Linked DNA regions of Macaca fascicularis. The protein of the gene in region 1 purifies or fractionates together with the protein of each later gene. This does not show direct contact. Links are inferred from orthologs where the notes say so. Each region holds a gene or a part of one and is shown in the gene's direction. Other genes may lie near its edges.

Region 1 (4,261 bases):
ATGAAGCTGCTGCCTGTATCACCGGTCTCCGGGCAGCCATGGAGGCTCTTGTTGTTGAAGTAACCAAACAACCTGCTATCATCAGCCAGTTGGACCCTGTAAATGAACGTATGCTGAACATGATCCGTCAAATCTCTAGACCCTCAGCTGCTGGTATCAACCTTATGATTGGCAGTACACGGTGAGTACCATATTAACTTCTCATTGAACCAAGTAGAGGGGAGAGATCTTTCATAGGTCTAGAATTCCTAGAGTTAGTGATAGAAGCCTTATTAAGTAAAATTCTAGATACAGATAGTTTAGTTCCATCTAACAAACTCAGAACAAAAATGTCATTTACTTTTGTTAGTCCCTTTGTTAGTAATTGGTCTACCGCATCAGTGCGTATTGGTAGTGTTGGAAAAGGATCTTACAAATACACATACGTAGTTCAGAGTAGGTCACATGACAGGGAAGTGACACAGCCCAGATAGCCCTTTTTCCATGGTACTGTTTTGGCATCTCTAAAGAAAAAATATTGATGAGATGTTAAATTGCTTCTTTATCCAATGTGTATGTGTTTTTGTTTATCTTAAACAACTAAGAGCATGGACATCTTAAAGCAAAGAAATGAGAAATTTATCTTAATTCTTAAAATTTTTATTTGCTTCAGGTTTTAAAATTTTTTCCTTTGCCCATGAGTTTTTATTTACAAATACTTGATACTTGCCAAAAAGGCAGAAAAGTGATACAATGTTTAGCCATATAGTCTTTGTTTAGATTCACTAATTTTCAGCGTTTTGTACATTTCCTTAATCATTTGTGATGAAGTAGTAGGCACTACCACATTTTACATCAATACACTTCATATCTTTTAAGAACATGGTCACAATACCACCCCAAAACCTTAAGTGTTTTAGTAATACTATAATATGCTATTGTACTAAAATCCTTCCAGTTATCCAAAAATGACCTCTAATTCCTCATCAAAAATGACTTACTGCATTTGGTCTGTCTATAAAATGGGTAGATGGTTATCCTCATTCTCTTTAATATAAATAAGGAAACCGGGCACAGATAAGACTCAAGGTCATACAACTAATAACTGATAGAACCAGATTCAAACCCAGGCAACATGCCTCCTGAAACAGTGTTCTTACTAGGCTTTACTGTGGCCCTCCTAGGTGCTTAAATGTATAGGATAATTCAGTAAGCATCATAGGCAGATAACAAATTAAGTATTCATGGGTGTTTAGGAGAAGAGAGATTATTTTTGGTAGGAGGGCTGGTAAGCAAGGAACCTTTGTATATATAATCTGTTTCTATGAGGGATAGTAGTCCAGAAACTAGAAAGAAAGGGATATACGTAAGAGAGTTTAGGATGTATGAATATGTGGTGGCCTAAATTACAGTAGTAGATAGAATTTTTCAAAATTAGATATACATTTTTCAAAATCGTATTTCAGAATTATTGCAGGAAAACTTTTAGTGATAAAGACCAAATAGTTTATTGGCAGCTCCAGGAACCCTCTCCTAATGCTTGCCTTCTTGGAACACTATGTTGTTGACCTGAGTAAGAGCACTTCTTAAAGTTGTAATGACATACTGCCAAAATTCAAAACCTTTGAGATTGAACCAGAAAGAACTTCAGAAAAACAGATGGATATAATTGATGACTGTTTTAGAATAGCAGATCAATTTTGTTTCAATTTCGATTTGTGCGTTTGGCTTCATTCCCTTTATGTATTAAATTTTCAAATATAACTAACTGTGTGCATTTGGTGAGTGGTTGGGAAATAATAAGAATGCTTTGCTGAAGTGATGGTTTTGTGCTTTTCCTAGGTATGGAGATGGTCCACGTCCTCCCAAGATGGCCCGATACGACAATGGAAGCGGATATAGAAGGGGAGGTTCTAGTTACAGCGGTGGAGGCTATGGCGGTGGCTATACCAGTGGAGGCTATGGTGGCGGAGGCTATGGTAGCGGAGGCTATGGTGGCAGCCCCAACTCCTTTCGGGCAGGATATGGTGCAGGTGTTGGTGGAGGCTATAGAGGAGTTTCCCGAGGTGGCTTTAGAGGCAACTCTGGAGGAGACTACAGAGGGCCTAGTGGAGGCTACAGAGGATCTGGGGGATTCCAGCGAGGAGGTGGTAGGGGGGCCTATGGAGGTGGCTACTTTGGACAGGGGAGAGGAGGTGGTGGCTATTAAATCTTGGTTATGTCAGTTCCTGTGTGTAGACAGTAAGGAAAAAAAGGCATGCTATGTGTTACGTGTTTTTTCCAATATGTTTATTTGCCACCAAAAAGTAAATGCATTTTCACCCATTCTGTGGTTCATTGTAGTTTAAGGAAACCAAGCATATAGATGCATTAGTGATTTTGTTTATATTATGTAAAATATAACGATCTATCTTAAAAATACCACAGTTTGTATTTTTTCTTTAAGGAGTAAAGATTTGCCTTTAAATAACTTGGTATTTTCCTGGCTTTCGTTTAATACAGTAGAAAATAAAGTATTACACCGAATACTTGCCGTGTAGTTTGTTGACCTTATATATTAGAAAATTTTATAATGCCAGTTACATCTGTTCATTTTAAATGTCAGAGAAGTTGTACCATGTTTCAAAAGTATACTAAGTGATACTACTTGTAATAGAAAAATCACCTTGGAATTGTTACCTTTTGAAGTAAATACTGGCAAGTGTACAAGCCACATAAACCTGAATAAAACTTTTGACCTAGGGCTGAACATTTGGCTTCCTCCCATATTCTGTCTTTGAATAAGACCAAGGCCAGCATTTTCTTTTCTAAGTGAGTTTCTACTGTGACAATTAAAAGCAATATAATCACTCCGTTAGAACTCTTAAGCCACTTTAATAGACATGTTCATACATTTATAACACTTTACAGTTTCCAGTGAATTTGCAGATTTCTCATTTGAGCAATGGGAGAGGGCAAAGGTATTGGATTAGACAGAACTGGGTCTGTCTTAATTCTTTTCTCCACCATGTGGATGATCTTGGGCAAGTCATATTTTTGTCTTGGTTTCCTTTTCAAAGTCCTTTATCCTGCATATATGTTGTAGATCACCTTCAGCAGTTAAGCTGATGGCACATATTTACAGACACACAAGTCTATCTCCAACCTTGATTTCCTTTCTGAGCCATGTAAGCAGCTGCATACTGAACATGTATCTCTGCTTAAATATCCCACAGAAAAAAATCTCAGTGCTTTCCAAACTGACCTCCTTCCCCTCCCAACCTACCCTATGTCCTGACAGTACTGTGTTCTCTGCTCCGTTTTCTTTGGAGTTTTCAGCTGCTTAATTGCTTAAGCCACCACCTCTAGTCAGCTCAAAACATCTTTCAATATACTTTTATAGATCAGTTGCCTCTGTTCTATTCAGTCTTAGTTTGGACATACAGTGCCACAGCAACCACTTAACTGATCCTGCCTACAGGCCTGCCTCAATCTAATCTCCACTACAGCTAGAGTAAACATTCCCAAACGAATCTGATTTCATACCCTCTCTCCTGACTTAAACCAATGGTTCTTACTGCCGGCAGGGTAGAGGCTAAACTCCCTTCTTAGCCCCTGACTCCAGCTCTACCTTCATTTCTGCTGTACAGCTGTAGCTAGCCATACTGAACTAGCACCATTGATGGATCATGCTTTCTCTCCCTTTGCACGTTGTGAAAACTCCCATAAAAGGTATAGTAGCAGGACGAGCCGCAGACAAAACTCCTCTGACACCAAGTTAAAGAAGGGGTTTTTTCAGCCGGGGCATCAGCAAGACTCCTGTCTCAAGAGTCGAGCTCCCCGAGTGAGCAATTCCTGTCCCTTTTAAGGGCTCACAACTCTAGGGGTGCGTGTGAGGGGGTCATGATTGATTGAGCAAGCAGGTGGGGGCTGCATGCACTGGTAATTAGATCAGAAGAAAACAGGATAGGGATTTTCACAGTGCATTTCTATACAATGTCTGTAATCTATAGATAACCAATTAGGTCAGGGGTCAGTCTTTTAACTACTAGGCCCAGGGTGTGGCGCCAGGCTGTCTGCCTGTGGATTTCATTTCTGCCTTTTAGTTTTTACTTCTTTCTTTGGAGGCAGAAATCGGGCATAAGATGATACGAGGAATGGTCTCCTCCCTTAGTATAAAATCAATAATGGTTCATTTGAATGGTACTCATGCCTCCAACAAATTCAATTAGAAATGTGAAATTGAAAAATGGCCAAAAGTTGTCAGTGCATTCTCTAAAGGTTGAAAAAAAGCACTAAGGCA
Region 2 (5,897 bases), on another chromosome or scaffold:
ATGAGCAAAAATTATAACTAATATTTTTGGGGCTCTTGTGGGTTAGGGACTTTATACTAACTAATTGAAGACTGACAGCAGTCTGAGAGAAGGCAGGGCTTGGGTTATCCTCATTTTGCTGGTGAGGAAAATGAAGCTTGAAGTTAGACTAACTTAAGAGTCTTAAGTTAATAAATGGCAGAGTTGGTTTTCAAGCCAGAAATAACTTTATAGTATCCTTCCAAAACTTTTTCTATACACAAATATATGTATATAAGAATGGGATCATATTGTGACCATCTTTCCATGTCAATAAATAGACTTCAGCAGCATTCTTTTTAATCCAGTGTCCTTTTGTTTCCTCTTCTCCCGGCCTTGTCCCCAGGATCGACGAGAACGTGCTGGGAGCCCAGCTGGACGTTGAGGCCGCCCATTCAGAGATCCTCAAGTACTTCCAGTCAGTCACCTCCAACCGGTGGCTCATGGTCAAAATCTTCCTCATCCTCATTGTCTTCTTCATCATCTTTGTGGTCTTCCTTGCTTGAACCCTCTCCACTCTGAGGCACTCCGTTGGGGTTTGGGACCCTCCTAGGAAGGCAAGTGGCCAGTGCTGCCACTGAGCCTATGCAGGGTGCTTGGGAGAAAGGCCCTGTTTCCCTGGAACTGCAAAGAATGGCCACTGCCCCTGACCCCCCACCCCTTGCCTCTGGCCACCCTGTCCTCCCCCCACCACCCTCAGGCCTATGAAACACACAGGGTTCTAGATTTGGACTCTGTGTGTGAAGTGACTGGAAGGGAACAGAGGCCAGCTGGGGGCCAGTGGGGTAGGTTGTCTCCACTAGGAGACTTTTATAAACCCTCTCCAGCCTCTCCCAAAGGAAACGTTGGCAGCAAAGGGAGATGATGCCTTTCCCCACCTTCCTGTGAGTGAAGAGAGGAAGCAGCCCCAGGGACCAATTTTCCCAATTGACCTCTTTCTTCCTCTTTCACCATGTGGGGCAGGGAACCCTGAGCCCTTCAGCTGCCTGCACAACCCCTGACATTGGCTGCTGGTGACTCTCAATCTGCCAAATGTGCTGCAGCCCGTTTTCTCCTAATTACAGCAAGACTGTCAGCCTCACTAGCCATGTCATCATTTCTGGGTGGGAGCGTCGAAGGGCCTAGGCAGCGAGTGGAGTGAGCCCACTGCCCAGTACCAGAACTGAAAGGGTTGGGCTAATGGCTGTGCCAGGTATCACTGCTGAGGCAGGCTATTTTGGGCTCTGACACACAGCTGCCTCTAGACAGGGGAGAACCAAGTGTTGCAACACTTGATTAGCGTGGAAACTTCCTTTCACACAGAAGCAGGATCCCAGAGGGGGTCCCTGATTGGTGGCAGCTTCCAAGACCATCTCAAACAGTGTTTGGACCTGTTTCATCTGTATCCTCCAACTATTTGGCCGTAATTCTTCCTTGAGCTAAGCAAGGCAGAAGCTCTGCCTGCTGCCAGGAGTGGAAGGTGAAGAATTTGTTCCCAACTCCAGTTGAGGCTTTTGATTCCCTCAAAGCACTTCACCAAATCAAAGCCAGTCACAGAGAATGGAGGAGACACCTGCCCAAAATACCCACCGTCCAGAGAGATTAATGTGCTTTGTTCTTCCTGACCAAGACTCGCAACCACATTCTGAGGACGCTCCAGTGCCCCTGTCTCATACATTCCAAAGGAAGCTGAAGCTATAGAGACAACAATCAATCAGGGGCTGATGGTGGTGCTTTTGGGGGTCTAGGAGAGCCCAAGGCCCTGATATTTTAAAATGTCCTCCTCCTCGGCATCTCCAGCAAGTTGCCACTGCTGGTGAGCTTCACTGTCTGCCCCGTTGACACGATGGGTTTCTAACAGGGGACGCCATTGATGGTCTGTGAAGACAATGCTCGGCAAACCCCTGACAGATGTCGTCTCATTTGACTCAGCAACTCAGGGTGGGGTGGGGGAAATTCACAGAATAGAAATTCATTTATTTCACAAATACATGTTGAATTTTTACTATGTGCCAGGCATAGTACCTGCCGAGTCAAGCCCTCGAGGAAAAAAAAGCCTTTAGTCAACGTTCGAGCTCACATTCTAATTCTCAACTTCGTGATTTGTTAATCCATCTTATAGGCGAAGAAAGCGAGGCATAGACAAGGAGCCGAGCTGAAACACTGGCTAGATGCGGGTAGGGGTCTGAGCCATCACTCCCACCCGGAGGCGCGGTCTCCATTCCTCGGAAGCCCTTGGTACGGCCCCGTTCCCCGCTGAGTTCTGGGCTGCAGCGGCAGCACTCTGCTCTAGCACTAACTCAAGCTGCCAGGGCAGCGTCAGCGGACAGATGAAAACATGCGGGGACCTGCTGGCTACCAGCCGGGGTTCCGCAAGCTCAGGTCTTGGGCGGGGCGCGGAGGGTCAGGCCCCGCCCCTCGCACGACGGCCTTAAGTGTGCGCACGCGCAGGGGGTCGCGCTTTCTCCGGGCGGCGACACTGCCTCCAGCCTGGGACGTCAGCGGCGCGCGACGTGCTTTGCTATATAAATGCGGTGGCGCCCGGCGTAGGGACACTTCGGTCCTGAGTGCTTGGGCGTTCGGTCGTTTGCCGGCGTAGCGGCCAGCGCTTGAGCCCGCCCTTGCTCTTCGCTGTGGCATGGCGGACGAGGGGAAGTCGTACAGCGGTCAGTGCTGGTCCTCGGGTCGGGAACCGGCTATCTGGGGCGCGGGTGGGCGGCGCCGGCCTAGGCCTCAGCCTCCGGGGCGTGAGGCCGCCAGGGGCCCGGCGTCCGCGGGGAGCGGCGCGCGGGGGGTCGGGGGCACTCGAGGTGGATTACAGAGTTGTTGACTCCTGGATTCCTCCTGGAATCCTGGTGTTGGGGGACCTGCGGCTCGGAGCGGGTGGCTCGGGGGTAGGGGGACGGGATTCCTTTGAACTTTGTGGGTGGTTGATGCCTGTCAGTTCGGTTTGGCGGCCTGACTCTTCCTTTAATGTGAGTTAGTGCCCTACTCATGGGCTGCCCTGGTGCCCTATTTTTTACTGCGTCCAGTCGGTCTTGAACCCTCGGGCCTGGGCTTTGGCTTAATATTCGAGACTTACACATCAACTGGATGTTCCAGTCTGAACACTACACTGGGTGTTAGTTCTTTGTAGTAGTTAGGAGTGCATGGTGGAGGTTGAAACCGTGAATTTAAAACTCTCCTCTTCCACCCCTTTAAAGTGGAATAACAACAGTATTTCTTAAGAGTTGGGGGGGAAGTAGGGGGGAAAATGAGATCATTCCTATCAAGTGCCTGAAGCATAGTGGCCGGTACTGGAGAACAGTTCTCAATGAATGTTAGCTGCGCCTTCTGTGTTCTTTTTTCCTAGGGTCATTTGTTGAGATTCATTGTTTACAGAGTGCTCGGTATTAGGCAGATCTCTTTTGGGAGTTAGGGACCCTTTTTAAGACGCTAGTCCTGCACAGCATGAATCAGATCATATTCCTGGAGAGCATTCCAGGGTCCCTGGTTAAGCACCCTAGCCTGGCACTACCACTAGAGCCTGAGTCTAGAAATTGTCTCCTGAGTTAAAGGGCATTTCTGGCCAAGGAATCGAAGAGCTCCTCAGAAAACTTCAAAGTGGCAATTTGAGAACAAGGAGAATTTTTAGAGGATCCTTAAACTGATCATATTTGTAACTGGCATCTGTACTGTATAGACAAAGTATTGAGTGGCAGATTTCAGGTGGCTTTCAGAGGTCTGATTTGTGTTCACTTACACTTTTGGGTCTCACATTTATACATTCTGCTTCTAATTCCAGTTTCTACTTCATTTTTCAAAAGCCCTGCACAGATTTCCAATAACTTTTCCTTGATGCTGACCTCCCACAGAGAGAGTTCTTTCCTGTGGACAGGCAGCGGAGTTTGCATGGAGATGGCCTGTGTAGTTAGTATGTATCTCTTCCAGTAGTTCAGAGTAGAAACTATGATTGCCACACCAAGCCGGACCAGTTACTTCTAATTTGTGTTCCTGTTTCTAACTCCAGAACACGATGATGAACGCGTTAATTTCCCTCAAAGAAAGAAAAAAGGCCGGGGTCCCTTCCGGTGGAAATATGGTGAAGGAAACCGTAGGTCTGGAAGAGGCGGTTCTGGTATTCGGTCTTCCCGCCTGGAGGAAGATGATGGAGATGTGGCAATGAGTGATGCCCAGGATGGTCCCCGAGTACGATAGTAAGTGACCAGTTGGTCTGGTTTGAATTTAGTGGCTCATGAGATTATATGGCCCTTTTACTGTCCATGTCATTTTCCTTCCCACCTGTTATAGTGAGAAATGCCAGGACTAGCTTAGCGATTGAACAGTCTTAGTTTAGTCCCGCCAACACAGTGCAGGAAGGTCTTTGAGAAGACTTTCCTAGCATTTGTGGTCATTTTATTCTCTGTTTACCCACAGCAACCCCTATACCACCCGACCTAACCGTCGGGGTGATACTTGGCATGATCGAGATCGCATTCATGTTACTGTGCGGAGAGACAGAGCTCCTCCAGAGAGAGGAGGGGCTGGCACCAGCCAGGATGGGACCTCAAAGAACTGGTTCAAGATTACAGTGAGTACTTTGAGAAAGTAGATGGTACAGTAGAGATCGGAGGCCACGCTCAGAGTGGAGATGTTTAATTTTATTCCACAAAAATTATTCTTTTTTTTTTTTTCGAGACGGAGTCTCGCTCTGTCGCCTAGGCTGGAATGCAGTGGCCGGATCTCAGCTCACTGCAAGCTCCGCCTCCCGGGTTCACGCCATTCTCCTGCCTCAGCCTCCCGAGTAGCTGGGACTACAGGCACCTGCCACCACGCCCGGCTAGTTTTTTTATTTTTTAGTAGAGACAGGGTTTCACCGGGTTAGCCAGGATGGTCTGGATCTCCTGACCTCGTGATCCGCCCGTCTCGGCCTCCCAAAGTGCTGGGATTACAGGCTTGAGCCACCGCGCCCGGCCTTTTTTTTTTTTTTTTTTTTGAGACGGGGTCTCGCTCTGTCACCCAGGCTGGAGTGCAGTGGCCGGATCTCAGCTCACTGCAAGCTCCGCCTCCCGGGTTCATGCCATTCTCCTGCCTCAGCCTCCCGAGTAGCTGGGACTACAGGTGCCCGCCACCTCGCCCGGCTAGTTTTTTGTGTTTTTTAGTAGAGACGGGGTTTCACCGTGTTAGCCAGGATGGTCTCGATCTCCTGACCTTTTGATCCACCCGTCGGCCTCCCAAAGTGCTGGGATTACAGGCTTGAGCCACCGCGCCCGGCTTTTTTTTTTTTTTTTAAATGGAATCTTGCTCTGTCATCCAGGCTGGAGTGCGGTGGCGTGATCTCGGCTCACTGCATCCTCCGCCTCCTGGGTTCAAGTGATTCTTCTGCCTCAGCCTCCTGAGTAGCTGGGACTACAGACACCCACCACCACGCTCAGCTAATTTTTGTATTTTTAGTAGAGACAAGGTTTCACTGTATTGGCCAGGCTGGTCTTGAACTGCTGACTTCGTGATCCGCCCGCCTTGGCCTCCCAAAGTGCTGGGATTATAGGCATGAGCCAGCGCGCCCAGCCCAAAAATTATTCTTGTTAGCTGATTACGCCATAGTCAAGTATCTGTCTCTTCTCCTAGGAATCAGTATCTTCCAACACCTTAGAGCAGGTTCAGAGAAGGGGTGGAAGAGAAATATGAAAACTGTGGTTGTGGAAGGAGTAATTCCTCTGGATGTCTTCATTTGGCTCAGGCTGAGTATGGGGCTTGGAGTCCATGAAGTTCTCTGAGGGACAGGCAAGGTGTAAATAATATCTTGAAACTTTTAGAATAAAAAAAATTGATTTTTTTTTTTTTTTTTTGAGACGGAGTCTCGCTCTGTCGCCCAGGCTGGAGTGCAGTGGCGCAATCTCGGCTCACTGCAAGCTCCGCCT
Region 3 (6,157 bases), on another chromosome or scaffold:
TTGTCTGCTTCTTCCCACTAGAATGTAAGCATCATGAGGGCAAAGGTTTTTGTCTGTTGTTTACAGCCATATTGCCACCACCCGGCATAGGATTCATATAATTGGACAAACTGAGCACTTACTATGTGCCAGGCATGTATACATGTAGAATCTCTTTAATTTTCACTACAACAGAAAGATGTTTTACTATTCCCATTTTAAGATAATAAAACTGATTACATTTTTAAAAAGGTTAAGTAACTTGCCCAAAGTCACATAACTGGATGGTTACAGGGTGATAGACCAGACGAGTTTACCCTCAAACTTTAGTCCATCTATTTACCTTTGTTACAATATCCCCCTAACTACTTAACCTAAGATTCAACACATTCCATAGTATCATTTCATAGTATCAAAGACCCTCAACCTGTCTTACCTCTTACTGTTTTCTATCTAAAACTGCCTGCTCCTCTCAAACTAACTGGTCCACTCCCTGTCTCTTGAAGCTTATGTTCCCTCTGGATTTTGCTCAAGTAAACTCCATATAGAAATCTTTTTTTTTTTCCTTTCCAATTTTTAATTTTAGGTTCAAGGGATACGTGTGGAGGTTTGTTATGTGGGTAAATTGTCTTGGGGGTTTGGTGTATAGATAATTTTGTCACCCAAGTCACCGGCATAATACCTCATAGGTAGTTTTTCAGTCCTCACCCTCCTCCCACCCGCCATCCTTAAAAAAGACCTAATGTTCCCTTCTTTTGTGTCCATAGGTACTCAATGTGTAGCTCCCACTTATAAGTGAGAACTTGTGGTATTTGGTTTTCTGTTCCAGCCTTAATTTGTTTAGGATACTAACTAGTCTTTGGCTCTGAGGTTCAGTGCAACTTCCAATTCTTTCCTAAATCTTTCCTGAATACTTGAGGATACGGTGAGGAATTCCTCTTAACTTCTTCAGTATTTACCATATAGTTTTGGAGGCTTTTGGTCACGTAATGCCTCATATTAACTATGTCCCACCCCATGTATCTTGCTTGGCACACAAAGGCTCAATAAATGGAAGCCGTTGTAATTTTCTTCCATTCCCATCTGAGTGAGGGCACTAAAAGCAGTGACTTAGGGCTATATGATCTCTCTTTCTCTCTGTAAAACTTCGTCTAACCAACACCTTTAAAAAGCTAACATTCTACTTTTAGGAGGCCGAGGCGGGAGGATCACTAGGTCACGAGTTTGAGACCAGTCCGGCCAACATGTTCACCTTGTCTCTACTAAAAAATACACACATTAGTCAGACGTGGTGGTGCGTGCCTGTAGTCCCAGCTACTCGGGAGGCTGAGGCAGGAGAATCGCTTGAACCTGGGAGGCAGAGGTTGCAGTAAACCAAGATCGTGCCGTAGCACTCCAGCTTGGGCGAGACTCCGTCTCAAAAAAACAAAAAACAAAACAAAACACAAAAAACAAGCAAAGCTAACATTCTAGGCCAGGCGCGGTGGCTAACGCCTGTAACCCAGCACTTTGGGAGGTCGAGGCAGATGGATCACCTGGTCAGGAGTTCCAGACCAGCCTGACCAACATGGTGAAACCCCATCTCTACTAAAATACAAAAATCAGCCGGGCATGGTGGTGGGCGCCTGTAATCTCAGCTACTCAGGAGACTGAGGCAGGAGAACAGCTTGAACCCAGGAGGCGGAGGCTGCTGAGCCGAGATTGCCCCACTGCACTCCAGCTTCGGCAACAAAAGTGAAACTCATCTCAAAAAAAAAAAAACAAAAAAACAAAAAACTAACATTCTAGTTGAAAGAAAGCAACACATGGATGATGTAAATTACACATAAAAACCCATTCACTGAGGTTAAATGAAAATTTTGGAGTATGCCAAGGGGACCTGAAAGGGCCTCCTTCTGAGAGGGCGTCGTGGGAGGGCTTCAAGGATGGCGGGAGGGTGGCAGGGATGTCGCGCCTCGTCTGGTTCGTAATGTCTGAAGCTCTTTGGTTCCGTTGTCTTTCACACCGCCGCCTCGGGCTCGCTTTTGCGCAGGGCCACGTGGCAAAGTTTTAGTTTAACCGCATGTCAGCCCACCGTAAACGGTTAATAACCGCCTTCGTGGACCAGGCCTCTGCCCTCCATCTTTGTGCGGGCGGGAGGTGGGGCGGGGACGCCAGGTGTAGCGGACAAGCGGAAAGGCGGCGGGTAGATCCGGGCCCCCAACCCCAACGTCAAGTTTTCAAAAAGCCCGCGCGTGGCGCCCCAGGCCGCATCCGCTGGGAATGGCCCCCAGCGCGCCTCCTGCTCTCTCCCCTGCAAAGCCCTGGGCTGCAGAAGGCGAGGGGGTGGCAGACAGGCTCTGCATGCTGGGGGCGCCGGGGCAAGCGCGCACCGGGGAGCGCGCCCGTCCAACAGCTGCCGAAAACGGAAGTGGGTGCGAGGGGATCACGGTGATTGGCTGAACTGACATGTCTCTCAAGGGGCTGGCGCGAACGCCACTGCGGAGTTGGGCGCGGAGATGAGGAAAGGGGAGGGGGAGAAACACTGGGAACAGCCGCAGTGCTAGGAGGAAATGAATCGCGGCGGTGCGCGGAGGGCAGGGAGGGACCCATGTCAAGTGACAATAGGGCGCTCGGGAATGAGAGCGGGCTGGCAGAAGGGGAGGCGGGAGCGGCACAGGCCGCGGGCTTGAATAGACCGCGGAGGGCGGGGAGTCCGTGATCTAGAGCGGCGCTGCGGCGCGGTAGGCGGGATTAAGGGGAGCGAGGCGGGGATTGGAGGGCAGCCCTAGGCTGCCGTACGTCGGCGGTGACGCACGCCTCGGGGAGGGTGCGCGCGCGTTCAGCGGCCTCTTTGTGTGGTGCCCAGATAGGGGAGCGGAGGTGGCGGCGGCGGTAGCGGTGGCCTTGGTTGTCTTCCAGTCTCCTCGGCTCGCCCTTTCGCCGGCACCGCTCCCCTTCCCTCCCCCTTCCTTTCTTCCTTCCTTCCCTCCCCTTCCCTTTTTCCCTTCCCTGTCGGTGACCGGCGGGGGTGGCTCCAGCAGCGGCTGGGCCCAAGCTGTGTAGAGGCCTTAACCAACGATAACGGCGGCGACGGCGAAACCTCGGAGCTCGCAGGGCGGGGGCAAGGCCCGAGCCTTGGAGATGGAGAATTCCCAGTTGTGTAAGCTGTTCATCGGCGGCCTCAATGTGCAGACGAGTGAGTCGGGCCTGCGCGGCCACTTTGAGGCCTTTGGGACTCTGACGGACTGCGTGGTGGTGGTGAATCCCCAGACCAAGCGCTCCCGTTGCTTTGGCTTCGTGACCTACTCCAATGTGGAGGAGGCCGACGCCGCCATGGCCGCCTCGCCCCATGCCGTGGACGGCAACACTGTGGAGCTGAAGCGGGCGGTGTCCCGGGAGGATTCGGCGCGGCCCGGTGCCCACGCCAAGGTTAAGAAGCTCTTTGTCGGCGGCCTTAAGGGAGACGTGGCTGAGGGCGACCTGATCGAGCACTTCTCGCAGTTTGGCACCGTGGAAAAGGCCGAGATTATTGCCGACAAGCAGTCCGGCAAGAAGCGTGGATTCGGCTTCGTGTATTTTCAGAATCACGACGCGGCAGACAAGGCCGCGGTGGTCAAGTTCCATCCGATTCAGGGCCATCGCGTGGAGGTGAAGAAGGCAGTCCCCAAGGAGGATATCTACTCCGGTGGGGGTGGAGGCGGCTCCCGATCCTCCCGGGGCGGCCGAGGCGGCCGGGGGCGCGGCGGTGGTCGAGACCAGAACGGCCTTTCCAAGGGCGGCGGCGGCGGTTACAACAGCTACGGTGGTTACGGCGGCGGCGGTGGCGGCGGCTACAATGCTTACGGAGGCGGCGGCGGCGGTTCGTCCTACGGTGGGAGCGACTACGGTAACGGCTTCGGCGGCTTCGGCAGCTACAGTCAGCATCAGTCCTCTTACGGGCCCATGAAGAGCGGCGGCGGCGGCGGAGGCAGCAGCTGGGGCGGTCGCAGTAATAGTGGACCTTACAGAGGCGGCTATGGAGGTGGGGGTGGCTATGGAGGGAGCTCCTTCTAAAAGAAAATTTAAAATGCCTGGGAGTGGCTATTGGGGTAGCTCTTTTCAAAAACCCAAGTGGGGTCAACTCCTAAGCCCCACCCCCTCACACCCACACCACCGCCTTCCCTGTTTTGCCCTTGGGGGAGCCACTTCTAAGGCTGCTTACCCTTGGGGGTGTTCCTCTATTTGCCTGCCACCTCTCTTGTCTCTCCCTCTGAAGATGGACTCGGCCCCACATACACATTTTTGTGTTACAGTCATTGATGGACTCTATTTTTTTATTATTACTTGGACCTTGGTCGTTTTTATACTAGCAAAATGTCTTGTTTTAATTTGTGTTTTTTGGGGGGAGGGAGGGAGTGAACTTGCTGATTCTGTAGCAAAACCTGGGCGGGGGTTGGGGTGGGGGGTAGTTTACTTTGTTGTAAGGACTTGATAACCTGGCTACAGCGTTTTCTATGAAATCTACTTGGATCCCATGCCTGAAATTTGGAAGCATATGTACAAAAATCATTTTTACGTTTTATTTTTAATAAATCATTGTGTTTGACCGTACATGTCTAACATTTCTTTTCTAGGATCCATTCCGTACCGTTTTTAAGGGATATTTGTTTAAGACTTTACGTGTTAATTCTTTATTCTTGATGTGTACTTAGAGAAACTTAAGAGGTCCTGTGGTCCCCCTCCCGCCCCCCGTTGCCCTGCTAGTTGCGTGTTGAATTATATCCCTTACAGGCAAAACTTTTGAAGTGGTGGATGTGGCTTTTTAAACTCTTAAGTTTCTGTGCATCCATCTCTTGTACTAAGCGATTTGCTTACCATCTTGACATGGTTGGTCATTTCTATGACAATTTACTTCAAACTGTGTACTGTGTAGTTCTATATAGTTTGTGTTAAGCATGTCATTCATATAAACTGTTTAAAATTTTTCAGATGGCCTAGTTTCATCCCTCTTACTGGTTTATCTGTAATGAATGGTTAAAAATAAGGGTTATATTTTACCCTCAGATGCGTTTTTGTACTTTCAGAGCAGGTTTAAACGGTTTTTTTCCCCCCCCTATATCTGAACTGTTGTCCTCATGGAAATCCTTTTCCCGATCTTTGTAGCACCACCTACTGGCAGAATGGCAGAGTAGCTGCGAAACAATTTGTTTAAAAACTTGCTTAGGACAATTGCATCAGATATAGAAGTTTTGCCATCAGAATTCTTTGCAGACTTGGAAGTTACACGTTTGCTTGTAACTGAGATGGGCTTCACAGGAATGTAGTTGCCAGTTCATATCACAATTGCCCTTTCTATATGAGGTTTGAAAATGTAAACTGCTATGCATAGCTTGGGCAATAGCCCTAAATTGCTATGACAACTAATGAACCAGCTACGTATACTGGTATTTTAGGTGCAAGTTGTAAAGCAAAATATCTGTGTATTCTGCTTGGTTAACAAATGTATATTTGTAGCCCTTTCATGCAATAGCATTCAAGTTGTTGTTTATAAGAGAAGAAAAAACTGATAATAGGAGAAAATTGCCTTTCTGAATAGAAATATAGAATAGCAACGTTTATGGATATCACAAATAAAGAATTCAATTCTTTACATGATTGAGTGAGAGTATGTATAACCTGGTGGGTGGGTTCAGAGTACCTTTTAATCTAGTGTGCTTAACTTGATGTTATGATAATATTTAACTTAAATATTTGACTTAAATATTGATGTTGAAGGCTCAAAGCTATACTAAGAAACTTTCTGAAAGATTATTGGGCTTTAAAATAAAATAATATTTTAATATTGAACCATTTTTTAACTTTTTGTCACTGTTCAATTCCTAAAGGTCTAGTTCTTGCCAGATTTTTTTTTTTTTTTCTGATTGACAGGGCTTTTAAAGAAGTATGAAGAAAGGTTAAGATTATTAGGCTAAGTTATGGCTGCTCAGTAGTCACTTTGACAAAGGGTAGCGGATGCTTGGTACAAATAGTGTTATATCCTCTGACAAATGGGGTGAATGTTTTTGCACATTGATGTGATTAACACATAGTCAAATCCTTTGCTCTCAAATCTACAGTTTCCATACATTTCTGTCTTTTTTTTAATTCTAGTGATATACAAATTACATGTGGGCTACTTCATTTGGTAATTTGGTCCAACTTTTTGTTGGCTGTAGAG
Region 4 (6,060 bases), on another chromosome or scaffold:
CGAGGCCAGCCTGGGCAACATGGTGAAACCCCATCTCTACTAAAAATACAAAAAATTAGCCGGGCATGGTGGCAAATGTCTGTAATCTCAGCTACTCGGAAGGCTGAGGCAGGAGAATCATTTGAACCCAGGAGGCAGAGGTTGCAGTGAGCAAAGATCGTGTCACTGCACTCCAGCCTGGGCAACAGATTGAGACTCTGTCTCCAAACAAACAAACAAACAAAACCAAGCAGGGCAACATGGTGAAACCTCATCTCTACTAAAAATACAAAAATTAGGCTGTAATTCTGGCACTTTGGGAGGGCGAGGCAGGCAGATCACCTAACATCAGGAGTTCGAGACCGGCCTGACCAACAAGGTAAAACCCCATCTCTACCAAAAATACAAAAATTAGCTGGGCGTGGTGGCGCACGCCTGTAATCCCAGCTACTCGGGGAGGCTGAGGCAGAAGAATCACTTTGAACCTGGGAAGCAGAAGTTGCAGTGAGCTGAGATGCTGCCACTACACTCCAGCTTGGGTGAGACAGACAGACAGAGATTCGTCTCAAAAAAAAAAAAAAAAAAAAAATAGCGGGGTGTGGTCACGGGTGCCTGTGATCCCAGTTACTTGGGAGGGAGGCTGAGGCAGGAGAATTGCTTGAACCCGGGAGGGGAAGGTTGAAATGAGCCGAGATCCCACCACTGCATTCCAGGCTGGGCAACAGAGTGAGACTCTGTTTCCAAAAAAAAAAAAGCATGCAGGAAAGAAAAAGGACACACAAAGTATCTTGTATTTTGGAAAGATAATAGATACAAAATATCCTGTATTTTAAAATATTGACTACATGTTTAAATAATAACATATTCAACATACTGAGTTAAATAAAACACATTACAATTAACATCACCTGTTTCTTTTTACTTATTTTTAAATATGGCTAACAATTTAATTAATTTAAATTACATACCTCGCTGACAAATCTGTGGCTTGCTTATACTTCTTTTTTTTTTTTTTGAGATGGAATTTCCCTCTTTCACCTAGGCTGGAGTGCAGAGGCAGGATCTTGGCTCACTGCAACCTCTGCCTTCCAGTTTCAAGCGATTCTCCTGCCTCAGCCTCCCGATTAGCTGGGATTACGGATACCCGCCACCACGCCCAGCTAATTTTTGTATTTTTAGTAGAGATGGGGGTTTACCATGTTGGCCAGGCTGGTCTTGAACTCCTGACCTCGTGATCTGCCTCCCAAAGTGCTGGGATTACAGGCATGAGCCACTGTGCCTGGCCTCCTTTGCTTATATTTCTATTGCACCGTGATGATCCAGAATGCTAGCTACCATAAAATATAACAATTAAATGTTAAATTTAACATTTAATTGAGCTAGGTGTGGTGGCACATGCCTATAATCCCAGCTACTTGGGAGCCTGAGGCAGGAGGACTGCTTGAGGTCAGGAGTTAAACCTGTGGGATGATTGCACCTGTGAACACCCACTGTACTCCAGCCTGGGCAACACAGTGAGACCCAATCTGTAAAAAGCTTTTCTAGGCCAGATGGTGGCTCACGCCTGTAATCCCAGCACTTTGGGAGGCCGAGGTGGGCGGATCAGGAGGTCAAGAGAGAGAGACCATCCTGGCCAACACCGTGAAACCCCGTCACTCTAAAAATACAAAAATTAGCTGGTTGTGGTGGCACGCGCCTGTAGTCCCTGCTACTCAGGAGGCTGAGGCAGGAGAATCGCTTGAACCCGGGAAGCGGAGGTTGCAGTGAGCCGAGATCACGCCACTGCACTCCAGCCTGGTGACTCAGCAAGACTCCTTCTCAAATAAATAAATAAAAATAAAAAGATTATTATTTTCAGATCACACACACACAAAAAAAAGAAAAACAAAATTAGGCAGAGTGCAAGCATGCCTGTAATCCCAGCTCTTTGTGAGGCGGACGCAGGAGAATCACTTGAGTCCAGGAGTTCCAGACCAGCCTGGGCAACAGAGCCAGAGCCCATCTTTATTTAAAAAATTAAAGCATAAAAAAATTAAACATGTAGGTTGTATGTATTTCTACTAGGGCATTCTAGGTCAGCGCTGGCTTAGAATGTTAGCCCAATAAGACCAGGTATTTTTTTTCTGCTCACTGCCCATACAGTGACTGACACACAGTAGGCGCTCAATGACATTTTAATGAATGAATGAGAGGCTGAGCCTTCGGGAACTGGCTTGCTCAAAGAGCCAGCACCGATGGTGCTCTGACCACGTTCCATGCCCCGCCTCCTCAGCGCACCAGAAAAGGAAACTGAGGCCCGGCAAGGTGACGTCAGCTCCTGCCCAACCGCACTACGTGAGGAAACGTCGGGGCCGGGATTCGAACCTAGGTTTTGTACGCGTAACCCCGGCGCGCTGACCGTTCCTACCTTACTGGGCGGCGGCGGCAGGTCACACAGGTGCGGGACATACGGCGAGCGCTCAACCAGAGGCGCCGCTCCTCAGCCACCTCCTTCCGTCAGCCTCCGAGGTCGGGAACCCAGTCCGCCCCCTCCGCGGCCATCGCTGGCTGCCCGCGTCTCCGCCGGCCGCGGAGCCCTTCGCAGGCGGCGCCGACCGGAAGTCCCGCCTCTCCCGCGCGCCCCGGGGTGCCGCGACAGCCACGACGGCCAATGAGCAGCGCGACGTGGCGGACGCCGACCAATGGGCGCGCGCGCCGGGGGGGCGTGTCCGGTCCGCGGGCCGGAGCGGGTCGTGCGCGCTGAGGAGGAGCCGCTGCCGCCGTCGCCGTCGCCGCCACCGCCGCCACCGCTACCGAGGCCGAGCGGAGCCGTTAGCGCCGCGCCGCCGCCGCCTCCCGCCCGCCCCGGAGCAGCCCCGGGCCCGCCCGCCCGCGTCCAGGTGAGGCGGTGGGGGGCCTTCGGCGGCGCCCGACGGGGTAGGCCGCGGCAGGCCTGAGCTCGCCTGGCCTGGCCGCGGGGCGCCCGCGGGCCTGCACCGGCCGAGGCCCAGGCCGCGCCGGACCGCGGGAGGGGACGCGCGCTGGGGCCGCGGCGGGCGGGTCGGGGCGGGCCGGTGTAGGCGCCGGCAACAGGCCCTGGGGCCGGATTCCTCTGGCGCCTCGAGGGACGGGCGAGGGGAATACGGCGTGGGCATGCGCCGGGGGGCCGGGCTGCACGGCCGGGGGCTCAGGTCGCCTTGGAAGCCCGGGCTCCGGGGGCGGGAGAGTGGGGCCAGCGGCGGGGGGAGCGCGGGGAACGCTTTGAGCGCGCAGAGGTCACGGCCCACGGGCTCGCTCCCCCGGGAAATCCCACAGATTCTTTTGTGGTCGTTGTCAGAGCACCGCGGCCGGTGCGAGGTCCTTTGAGAAGTGTGCAAACCCTTCAGTAGATACACGGGAGTCCTGGGGGGGGGGAAAAAATCTAAACTGCATCTTTTTTTGAGCGCCATCTCTAACAAAGCTGTTTGTGGGGCGTGGGACGTTAGGATTTGTAAAATATGTGTGTGTGTCTGTTGGAAACACAAACTGCACACAGTTGAACAATGGGGGATGGATGCCCTTCCTTCCTTTTCCGGTGCTCTGGGCTGCCGGGCTTGTTAAAATGGGTTTTGGTCCCTACTGTGTGCAGGGCAGGTGGGGAAGAACTTCTGCACAACTTCTGCACGGGCTTCCCGTGGTGGGACTGAGCCCCCTTGCTGGAAAGTGTTCATCTAAGATCCGGATGGCCAGAAGTGGGAAGATCAGGAGAGTGACCTGGCTAGAGAAGGGTTTCTCAACGTTAGCACTACTGATGTTCGGGGTCAGATAGTTTTTGGTTGTGGGTGGGGGCCTTCCCTGTGCAATGTAGGAAGTTGAGCCGTATTCCTGGCCTCTACCCACTAGATACCAGCAGTATCCCCATCCCCCAAGTCGTGAGGATCAACAAGATCTCCAAACATTGCCAGATGTCCCGGGTTGTGGGGGAGGGGTCTCTTCCACTCTCTCATACACGCAGGTGAGAACCATTACTGAACTAAATCCCTTCCTCCAAAAGTTCTAATGCCCTGGGAGATGCTCCCAAGACCTCGAACAAGCTTGACTCTGTTGAGCCTTAGTTTTCTTATCTGTCAAATGGGAAGGACAAAAGTGTGCAGATTGAAGGGGTTGAGAAGCCTGTTGCGTTGTGCGTGGTCTGTACCTGGTAGGCACTGAATAAATGATGTTATACATAACCACCAGTATTTATTGAGGATTTACTATGAGCTCGACACTTTGTGGACGTTTGTCTCCAGTCCTTGAGGCGGATGATGTTATAATTTCCATTAATTTCCATTTTAGAGATGAAGAAACTGAGGCTTAGATGGGTCACTTCATATGACCAGTCTCATGCACTAAAGTGGCTGCGCCAGGGTTTGAACTCTGATTCAAAACCCTTACTCTTAACCACCCGGTTGTATTGCTCCCATAATCGCAAGGCTCCAGGACACTCCACTCAGTTGTCATCAAGTATTTTCTGTGTGCAAAGTTTTGTGCTGGGATCTGTTATCAAATTCTGCAACTTCAAGGCCCACAAAGAGGTTGAGATACGTGAACGTCTCCAAATGTGGAAGGAAATAATACTGTTTATGTTGACGCATTGGTTTTGAGCAGACAGAGTTTCAGTTTGGATGTGTTGAGTCTGAGATCATGGTGCTTTTTTTTTTCTTTCTTTCTTTTTGGAGACACAGTTTCACCCTTGTAGCCCAGGCTGGAGTGCAGTTGTGCCATCTCGACTCACTGCAACCTTTGCCTCCCGAGTTCAAGCGATTCTCCTGCCTCAGCCTCCCGAGTAGCTGGGATTACAGGCGGCCGCCACAACGCACGGCTAATTTTTTGTATTTTTAATAGAGACAGGATTTCGCCTTATTGAGCAGGCTGGTCTCGAACTCCTGACCTCAGGAGATCCATCTGCCTTGGCCTCCTAAAGTCCTGGGATTACAGGCGTGAGACACCGCACCCAGCCCATGATGCTATTTCAAGTAAAAGAAATGAGAATTATGAAAAAACTGTTTATGAAAACAACAAGAAATTATGAAAATGTATTGCCTCTCTCACTCGCGGCTTCCAATCTCTTCCCCTTTCCACACTCCAGCAGGAGTTCTGTTCTGTAAATGCACATCTAATTGTGTCCCTTCTGATTTAAAATCTTTGGGCAGAAAAAAGACGTTTTCTTGACCTCTTTCGTGGCTTAAAAGATAAAGTTAGAAGCCCTTAGTTTGGAGTACCAGTTCCTTCACACCCAAACGCTCCCTGCCCCTGCATGTAGACGCCAAACTCTAACCCTCCCTGCCTGTTGCAGCCTCCACCTGGAGATAGATCTCTTCCACCTGGAGATCCGTTGCTCAGGCTCCATGGCTCAGCCCAGAGCTCACTGGCCGTTTGAAGCCTCGTCTGACTGCCACTCTTCCTCCCCCCAACCGGAATCAACTGTTCCCTCTTTAGTGTTCCCATCCCGTTCAGTTTATTGAATCGAATTCAAGGCTGAATGGCAAGAGAAGCGCAGCGCCCGACTGGCGCCCCTAGGTGGCAGTAGCGAGGCGGTGCGGCCAACCCGAGCTGTGGGTCAGGGGAAGACCGACGGAAGCCAGCCTGTGGGAGGGAAGTGAGGTTCGCTCCCGCCTCTGAACGACTCTCCCTGCTTCGCTGCTGTGTCCTGGCCCACGCTAGGCTCTGGAGAGTGTGCATGATGTGTGTAGGTCATCTCAGCCCACTCTGATGAGTGTGGTGAGAGTGATGCCCTGGCTGATGTGGAAGCCCAGAAGAGGGACCTGGATGGGCACAGGAGAGCCCAGAATGCTTCCTGGAGGAGAGGAGGCAGTAGCGGTGGGGAGGAGTTACCCAGGCAAAGACAATGGGGTGGGGCTTTGTAGGATACAGCGAAGACCGGAGGTGGAACATCGCAGTGTTCAGAGAACATCGTGTGTTCAAAGAACCACGTGGATTCTTTAGGGGCAAGAAGGATGAAGTGGGTAGTCGTGGCAGGAGTGCTCAGGTGGCCGGTGGGCAGAGGGCTTGGCTGTTACTCTGCGGCTAGGCCAGAGGGTGGCTACTGAGCAGTTTTAGTTCACTGCTCACCCTGGTGGA

The links.
Region 2: the proteins of DHX9 (region 1) and NXF1 purify together in Homo sapiens (co-immunoprecipitation; 4 studies listed by BioGRID and IntAct, with this or other methods). This does not show direct contact. The link is inferred for Macaca fascicularis from reciprocal best matches to the Homo sapiens genes DHX9 and NXF1.
Region 3: the proteins of DHX9 (region 1) and HNRNPA0 purify together in Homo sapiens (affinity purification with mass spectrometry; 3 studies listed by BioGRID and IntAct, with this or other methods). This does not show direct contact. The link is inferred for Macaca fascicularis from reciprocal best matches to the Homo sapiens genes DHX9 and HNRNPA0.
Region 4: the proteins of DHX9 (region 1) and ELAVL1 purify together in Homo sapiens (affinity purification with mass spectrometry; 3 studies listed by BioGRID and IntAct, with this or other methods). This does not show direct contact. The link is inferred for Macaca fascicularis from reciprocal best matches to the Homo sapiens genes DHX9 and ELAVL1.

Annotation. Positions count from the first base shown.
Region 1 is NC_088375.1:40,419,682-40,423,942, forward strand, and holds the end of DHX9 (ATP-dependent RNA helicase A), read left to right. Parts: coding exon 1-181; intron 182-1,821; coding exon 1,822-2,188; 3' UTR 2,189-2,505; downstream 2,506-4,261. UniProt on the Homo sapiens protein: Multifunctional ATP-dependent nucleic acid helicase that unwinds DNA and RNA in a 3' to 5' direction and that plays important roles in many processes, such as DNA replication, transcriptional activation, post-transcriptional RNA regulation, mRNA translation and RNA-mediated gene silencing.
Region 2 is NC_088388.1:11,243,299-11,249,195, forward strand, and holds the start of NXF1 (nuclear RNA export factor 1), read left to right. Parts: upstream 1-2,548; 5' UTR 2,549-2,635; coding exon 2,636-2,663; intron 2,664-4,006; coding exon 4,007-4,193; intron 4,194-4,413; coding exon 4,414-4,567; intron 4,568-5,897. Other genes in the region: STX5 (syntaxin-5), read left to right, coding at 365-524.
Region 3 is NC_088380.1:144,232,934-144,239,090, reverse strand, and holds HNRNPA0 (heterogeneous nuclear ribonucleoprotein A0), read left to right. Parts: upstream 1-2,808; 5' UTR 2,809-3,102; coding exon 3,103-4,014; 3' UTR 4,015-5,590; downstream 5,591-6,157. UniProt on the Homo sapiens protein: mRNA-binding component of ribonucleosomes. Specifically binds AU-rich element (ARE)-containing mRNAs. Involved in post-transcriptional regulation of cytokines mRNAs.
Region 4 is NC_088393.1:8,721,779-8,727,838, reverse strand, and holds the start of ELAVL1 (ELAV-like protein 1), read left to right. Parts: upstream 1-2,711; 5' UTR 2,712-2,858; intron 2,859-6,060. UniProt on the Homo sapiens protein: RNA-binding protein that binds to the 3'-UTR region of mRNAs and increases their stability.